Elephas maximus indicus: one gene and its partner. The protein of the gene in region 1 purifies or fractionates together with the protein of each later gene. This does not show direct contact. Links are inferred from orthologs where the notes say so. Each region holds a gene or a part of one and is shown in the gene's direction. Other genes may lie near its edges.

The links. Proteins that work in one complex are often made in the same cells at the same time.
Region 2: the proteins of CANX (region 1) and TAP1 purify together in Homo sapiens (affinity purification with mass spectrometry; 3 studies listed by BioGRID and IntAct, with this or other methods). This does not show direct contact. The link is inferred for Elephas maximus indicus from reciprocal best matches to the Homo sapiens genes CANX and TAP1.

What each region holds. Positions count from the first base shown.
Region 1 is NC_064820.1:201,847,089-201,850,833, forward strand, and holds the start of CANX (calnexin), read left to right. Parts: upstream 1-1,358; 5' UTR 1,359-1,535; intron 1,536-3,745. UniProt on the Homo sapiens protein: Calcium-binding protein that interacts with newly synthesized monoglucosylated glycoproteins in the endoplasmic reticulum. It may act in assisting protein assembly and/or in the retention within the ER of unassembled protein subunits.
Region 2 is NC_064819.1:95,538,615-95,542,359, reverse strand, and holds the start of TAP1 (antigen peptide transporter 1), read left to right. Parts: upstream 1-870; 5' UTR 871-1,194; coding exon 1,195-1,792; intron 1,793-2,254; coding exon 2,255-2,369; intron 2,370-2,533; coding exon 2,534-2,664; intron 2,665-3,443; coding exon 3,444-3,649; intron 3,650-3,745. Other genes in the region: PSMB9 (proteasome subunit beta type-9), read right to left, coding at 523-582. UniProt on the Homo sapiens protein: ABC transporter associated with antigen processing. In complex with TAP2 mediates unidirectional translocation of peptide antigens from cytosol to endoplasmic reticulum (ER) for loading onto MHC class I (MHCI) molecules.

The sequences.
Region 1 (3,745 bases):
AGCCAGAACACTTTGCACAGTGTCCCCAAACACACATTGCCTGTTTTCCTGTCTTCGCATATGCTGTTTCCTCATCTAAAGAAGCTTTTCTCCCACTCTATACCTTTAGAAACTCTGCATATCATACCAGGTCCAGCTCCAGTCTTCCTCTTCCCTGTCCATCCTAGATGGATGCACTTTCTCCGTAATCAAATCCCATTAAATTCACTTTAGTACCACCATCTTTTCTTTTCTTTTCTTTTTAGCACTTACCTTTGCTGAAGTAGCGCCTATGCTCATATAAGTGGTTCCTCTACATTATAAACTATGTTTGGATTATGTGACATCCAGGACATTACTTTGCCCTTAACACAAAATCCTCTTTCGCAAATTTGGTGGCTGAGAGTTGAATACTAAAATTTATGCAAACACCAAGCCCTGACTTCTCTCTTCCCTTTTCAGGTGACAGGAGGGAATATAGCTGGCTTCCAGGATACGTGATACACCCGCTATTTCTAGCTCTTCCACGCTAGGATTCAGCCTTTGGGTGAGCAACAATCGGTGGAGAGACCGGAACCTCTCAAAGTCTAGAAAAACCTCCGAGCTGCTTCCATCTTCTGAGGTTCTCGGCACATTTAAAATTGAAGATGTGCTAAAAGCCGGTTACAAAAATTGTGTATTTTAAATGTTTCCATTGCAACACTCTTTTCTCTCAAGCATGTCGTCAGTGTATCGCTTGCCCTTATGTCAGAAAACATGACAAATTGAAAGTTTGATATAACCTTGGATTATACATATTATCCTGAATTGCATTTTGTGTTAGGCAATGAGCCAGCCGCAGTATCCAGGGCTCAGAGCAATGACTCTGCAGGAACCGGGGCCAGTTAGAAAGGGCTGTGTGTGCAGTCGACTTAGGCCGGGCCAAGGCGTCCGTGCCGGGTTCTGGCTGCGCACGGTCGGGGCCCTACGCTCGCTGCGTAGGGGCTGGCCCTTCCTGATGGCCGACAGGACCACCCACTCTTTCTGCCGGCTGCTCGGGTGCCCACACCACAGTGATTCGGCTTAAGCACCCGTCAGCGTGCCCACTAACACGGCCGGGTAACTGGGCGGGACAACGCCGGCCCGCCGATCCCGCCCCAGGACTCGCGCGCTTTCGGTTGCCGATAACGTCGGGGCCGGCCCCCTCACCTCCCACCCAACCAGCAGCCACTTCCTGCCTTACTTCCAGCCAGTCCCCACACTCCACGAAGAATAGCCCTAGGGGGCGTATGGGAAGAGGCATAGAGGGACGGCCACACTGACCAACCGAGTTTCGAAGCTTGCGCAGTGGGGCGGGATTTGCCTTCGTTCGCAGCCACTCAAGAACGAGGGGCGGACGCAGGGCCGGGCTTCGTGCGGTGGGGCTCGCTCGGCGGCAGCAGCGGTGGCCGAGGCCTCTTCGTTTTGCCGCACGTGACGGTCGGGCAGCCGCCGCCGCTGTCTCCACTGCAGCGTGGGGTCAGGTGTGCGGGCGGGAGGAGGCGCGGGAGCCGCCGGCGGTCCCCAAGAGGCTCTAGGTGAGAAGGGAGGTTTGTGCGCACCCCCGGGCCCGTGGGGACCCCAGGTGGCCCATGATCGCTGCGCCGCGGCCGAGGGGCCGGGCGTGGTCAGGGCCGAGGGGTTGAGCTGGGTTTCAAGGGCCCGGGTCCCGGCACATACGTTGGCCGTGAGCAGCGAGGCCTGGACGTGGGCCGCTTCATTTGGGCAGCCAGACCCAGGCCCCTCCGCGGGGGTCGGGAGGCGTGGCAGGTGCCCTAGGTCCTCTCTTGACCTTTGGGAAAGCTAAATTCTTCGTATGGCTCTGCTTCTAGGGCTTTCTTAGGCCTCTTCCTGGCTACCTGGAAAGCCGCGAGGTGGACTGGAGTAACCGGGTAAAGTCTGAAGCGGGATCGGGCCTAGTCAGTACCCTTAGCAATAAAAAATAGAGAATATTTACTATTGGCGTTACCGGTTCAGGATATTTGAAAATAAGACCTTAAAGCAAAGACTAGACGCTGGAACCCCGAAGAGTAAGTGGAAAGTACTAGAACATGCGTTGGTTGAAAAAGTTTGCAGCAGCTATTTGGGGATGGGAAGTAATCCATTCGGAGATTCACAGGACATTAAAAGCAGGAAAGGACCTGAAAACTCCGAGTGCAGCTTGTTTTTCGGTGGAGGAAACTGAGGCCCAGAACACGAAATGACCGGCCCAAGGTCATACGATTAGTCTGATGATCAGGTTGGGATTAGAGGGCTACGCAGTCTCCTTGTAGTGGTTAAATATAGGGCTCTGCTTCAAGTCCTTCCTGGACTATTTGCTAGTTACGTGAACTTGGACAGTTTATTTAGCTTTTTTTGTGTCCCAGTTCTCAAAAAATAATATAATAACTGATGGAGTTTTGGAGGAGCACTGGTGGTGCAGTGGTTAAGAGCTTGGCTGCTAACCAAAAGGTTGGCAGTTCAAACTCAGGAGCTGCTCTGTGGGAGAAAGATGTGGCAGTCTGCTTCCCTAAAGATTTGCAGTCTTGAAAACCTTATGGGGCAGTTTTACTCTGTCCTACAGGGTTGCTCTGAGTCGGAATCAACTGGAAGGCAGGGAATGGGGTCGTGTGATGGAGTTTTGAGGATTAAATTAAGATGTATATAAAATAGGACAAGAGTCTGAAAGTTGTTGGTTTACTACACTGACATCCTAGTCTTTGAGTTGGCTAAGTCCTGTTTCTTAGGATCTGAAGTCACCTTTATGGCATGGGGGGGAAGAAATTGGACCTTGTGAATTAACTGCTGGGCATGACACAAGTGAGTGTTGGTTGAGGGAAGTTAAACTGAGCTGAATATTAAAAGCTTGGGAGGGCAAAGGTGAACCACAGTTAAACTTATTTAGGGAGTGGAAGATTTTCCTTAATTTTTTAATAAGTAGATTTTAAGTGGAATCATTGTATTGATCTTTAAATAATTCTGCATCTCAGTTTTCCTACAGCCATGTTTGAGGGCCATCTTTTACATCTGGTATAGTTATATTAAGAGTAGAGGTAAAGAGCTGTGAGAGTTCTCCTTTGCACAAGATAACAAGCCAGGTAACTGGATTATGAGAAGGCAAGAGTGAGCTTTGTATTGGAGTGAATGTCACATAACAAACAGATTTTCTAAACTCCGAAAATGGGAGTCATTGTCCCTCCCCCACCCTACTATCACAATGCAGCAGTTCAACTATCACGTTTTCTTACAAGGACCACAAGGAGTAAACATTTTGACAGAAGTCATTGCTGCAGCTTTGACGATCAAACTGTTGAACCTTTAAGTTAGGGTTCACTTTGCCCTGCAAGATAGCTTGAGAGGGTGAAATGACAGTTGGTAAGCATAATTTCTGGGCCCAGCTCTGTAACTAGCTTATTTACTATCTTGGTTTACACATCTTTGAAATGGGAATGAGCTGTTTCCTCAGATACCTTACCATTACGGGGCTATTGAAAGGGACAGATGCAGATGATGAGCATAAAACCACTTTGAAGAGTTATAGAATTAGACAAACAGAAGAATTGGTGGTCATAGTAACTCTAGAAAGTAATAAAAACGCCTAAACATAGTTGTAAACTATATATAGTTTACTGTCGAACTTTGTCAGAAAAATGCTGGTTGAATACTTTGCTAGTGCAACAGATGTACTTTTAAATTAAGATTACCTCTGAGCTGTGAAAATTATTAGGAGAATTCTGTTTTTTAAAGAAATTAGAGAATCTTCAGCAGT
Region 2 (3,745 bases), on another chromosome or scaffold:
GGCCAAGCTAGGAAAGAGCACCACCGGCTCACACGGAGCCCCCATTATCGGTGCTCGGGCTATGAGTTAACTCCGGGGCAAGTATACCAAAGGTCTGTGTGATGAGTTGACCCTTCTCAATCAGTGCCCGTATTCCCCTCTCCCAAAATGTTGTCCAACTTCACTCAGGACACCATTTCCTCATGTCTTTGCACCGTCCCACCCGCTCTCTTGATTTAATCAGCCCCCTATCTAGATGGTAAGAGTGAAAGCGAAAGCGCCTTAGAGCAGCTTCCCCTTGACGCTTCCAGCTAAGAGCCGAAGCAGCCCCCCTTCACAAGCCCCGTCCCTTCGAGCCCCCCCCCAGGTGACCTCCTACGGAGTAGAGACACCCTATGTTCTTTGCGGGGTGCAAGCACTGCTGCAACAAGCCATTTCCCCACACTCATATTAGTCTTCACGTTCGCTTCTCGGCGCTTTCAGGGTCTCCTGCCGATCTACCTCCTTCGTCCCTCTGCTAGCCCTCAAGCCCAGAATCATTACCCCGGTGTGGACTTCTCCGGCTCCGGGGACGTCCCCGGCTGGTGCTCCCGCGCGCAGCATCCCGGCCTGGTGTCGCGCTCTGAGCTGCCTGGGGCGGCGGTTCCTGACCGCGGGCAGTGTGCGGCGCGTTGCCCACAGCCCCGCCCCTTCCTTATGCCCGCCAGGGGGCGCCGGTGTCCTCCCGGGGAGTCTTGGCGTGGGATGCTAACCTGTGCGGGGCAGATTTGCCCGGAGACAGGTGACGAAAGAGCCGAGCTCGGAAGCGAGGGTGGGAAAGTCAGGGCCAGGGGATCCCGTGGGACAAGTCGGGAGGGGAAGGAACGGACTGCCTGAAGACGCAGCACTAGGGCTACGCCCCAGAGCCCCAGAATTGATTTCAGCGCCAGCTCCTGAAATCGTCTGGGCGGGCCGCGTTTGGAAGTGGGCGGACCGAGCGAGCCCGCGGCCGCTTTCGATTTCTCTTTCCGCTAAGCGGCTGCTCTTCTGGCCCGCGCTCCCAGGCTCAGCCGGCTCCCCGGGCCTTCCGGGAGCCCCGCCCCGGCGCGTCCCTACTCCCTCCTCCAGGCCGCAGCCCCAGCGCCGACTCGCTCGCAGACTCGGACAGAGCCGGACCCAGCGGGGACATCGGAGAACCCAGGCCGGGACGGCACGCAGGACAGGGCCTGCGCGCCAATGGCCACCTCGGGGCCCCCTGCTCCTGGAGGGTGCCTCCGCCTCCCCCGAGCTTGCTGCGCGTGGCTGGGGGCGACGCTGCTGCTTCTCGGGGACTGGGTGCTGCTCCGGCGAGCGCTGCCCGGCATAGTCTCCTTGCTGGTGCCCGTGGTGCCGCCGCTGCTCCGGGTCTGGGCGGTGGGTTTGGGCCGCTGGGCAGTGCTGTGGCTTGGGGCCCGCGGGGTCCTCAGGGCCACGGTCGACTCCAAGAGCGAAAGCGTACGAGGCCAGGGCTGGCTGGCTGTTTTGGAGCCACTGGCGGCAGCGTTGGGCTTGGCCCTGCCGGGACTTGCCTCGTTTCGAGAACTGAGATCGTGGGGCGTCCCCAGGAACATTGAGAGCACCAAACTGCTTCACTGGGCAGGTCGCCCCGACGCCTTCGTCCTCAGCTACGCCGCGGCGCTGCCCGCAGCCATTCTGTGGCACAAATTCGAGAGCTTATGGGTGCTCGGCGGACAGGGGGGCTCTGGAGAGGTGGTGACTCGACTACTACGCTGCATAGGCCCTGAGATACGCCGTTACCCTCTCGTTTTGGGCCTGTTGATCTTTTCCTGTCTCGGTAAGGGGGAAGAGGGTAGGACATAGGGGACTGAACAGGAAATCAAGGGTAATGGTCAGTGAGGCAGGGTAGTGTCCGTTCCGGGAAATGTGGATGAGGCGGAAGGCGACCCAGCCTGGGTCTTGGGGAGACCACTCCGGTGTAGAGGAAAGAGCACTGGGCAGGGTGGGAGAGAGGAGTCATGGACTGCAGTCCTGCCGCAGGCATTAATTCGCTGGGCCACGCCGAGCAGCATTCTCATCTCTAACATGAGGCTTCCTGTTTAAACCGCTGAAAGGTCTTGGGTTGTGAGTTGCAGGGCCTCCTATTCAGGTGTGGAATTCTGGCCCCAGTGTCTTCTTTCTGCCCCTGCCCTCAAGGATAATGGTGAGGGTGGAAGAGGACGTGATGGGGGGCAGTCTGATTGGAGGTGATATGTTTAGACTTAATATTTGTGACTGACCGAGTTCTCTTTCAACCCAGGGGAGATGGCCATACCATTCTTCACCGGCCGCCTTGCTGACTGGATTCTGCAAGATGGGGCAGCTCCTGGCTTCACCAGAAACATAACTTTCATGTCCCTTCTCACCATAGCCAGGTCTGGGGGCTGAGGATGGAAGGCTGAGACTGGTGCACTCTAGAGAAATAAGGAAGTGGAATTGGAGCTGTGCTCCAAAGTTCACTTCTGTGTGGATACCTGCGACCTTTTCTCTCCATCCTCCAGCACTCATCCTGGCCCTTTTTTTCCGTTTCTCTCTCTAGTGCAGTGCTGGAATTCCTGGGTGACGGGCTCTATAACAGTACCATGGGCCGCATGCACAGCCGCCTGCAGGGAGACGTATTTCAGGCTGTCCTCCGCCAAGAGACAGAGTTTTTCCAACAGAACCAAACAGGTTTGTCACAAAACTCTTTCATTACAGATCCATATACTTTTTATATCCCCATACATCCTTTACTTATAATATTGATATCTCTGTCTCTTGTTTTTACACACACATTGTTGTTCTTGGTATACCTCTAGTCTGAACACAAATTATTCTTTTTACCTTCCGTAAAACATAGTTTTTCCATTCAGGATTTTTCCATAAATCTATCCCTGTATATCATTAAATAAAAACCATGGAATTTCAAACCTGGAAATTTTGTGATCATGGAGTCCTAATGCCTAATTTTCCAGAGAAGGAAACTGAGGTCTAGGCCCAAAATGCTGAAAATTGCATGTCACCTAATGGATTGAGAGAAGCTTGGGGGAAGAACCCCAGTCTTTTGATTCCTAGTACATTGCTGGTTACAGGGGCACCATCTGTTCTTCTCCACCTCCATTATACAACCAGCTTAAACTCTTTCTGCCTATGTGTATATCATAAAATCATGGGACATACAAATTCTTTAAGGAACAGAAATCTTTTACAGAAAGAAAAATTTACATGGGCATCAAATTCCTCATAGTTAAAATGATGGTCTTTAGCTAGATTTCTCAGCTCTAATACTTATTTCTCCCTGCAGTGAGATTCCCAAATGTCCCCATACTCCCATATGATCTGTTTGCCCCAGCCTCCTTAAAACACCATGTTGACACCCGTACTCCTGGCACCCTGGATTGTTATTAGTCCCTCTCATCACTTGGAACCCTTCTTATTCATACCACACTTTTCTCCCCAATCTCTGGCAGGTGCCATCACATCTCGGGTAACAGATGACACATCCACCCTGAGTGATTCTCTGAGTGAGAAGCTGAACCTGTTGATGTGGTACCTGGTACGGGGGCTGTGTCTCTTGGGGCTCATGCTCTGGGAGTCAGTGTCCCTCACCATGGTCACCCTGGTCAACCTGCCTCTGCTCTTCCTTCTGCCTGAGAAGCTGGGAAAATGGCACCAGGTATGTTCAGGAAGTTGGCTTAACCAACATGGACGCTTTGTCTCCCAGATTTGGAAGACTCAGTTTCTGTCAGATGTCTTTCTGTACAACCTTCTT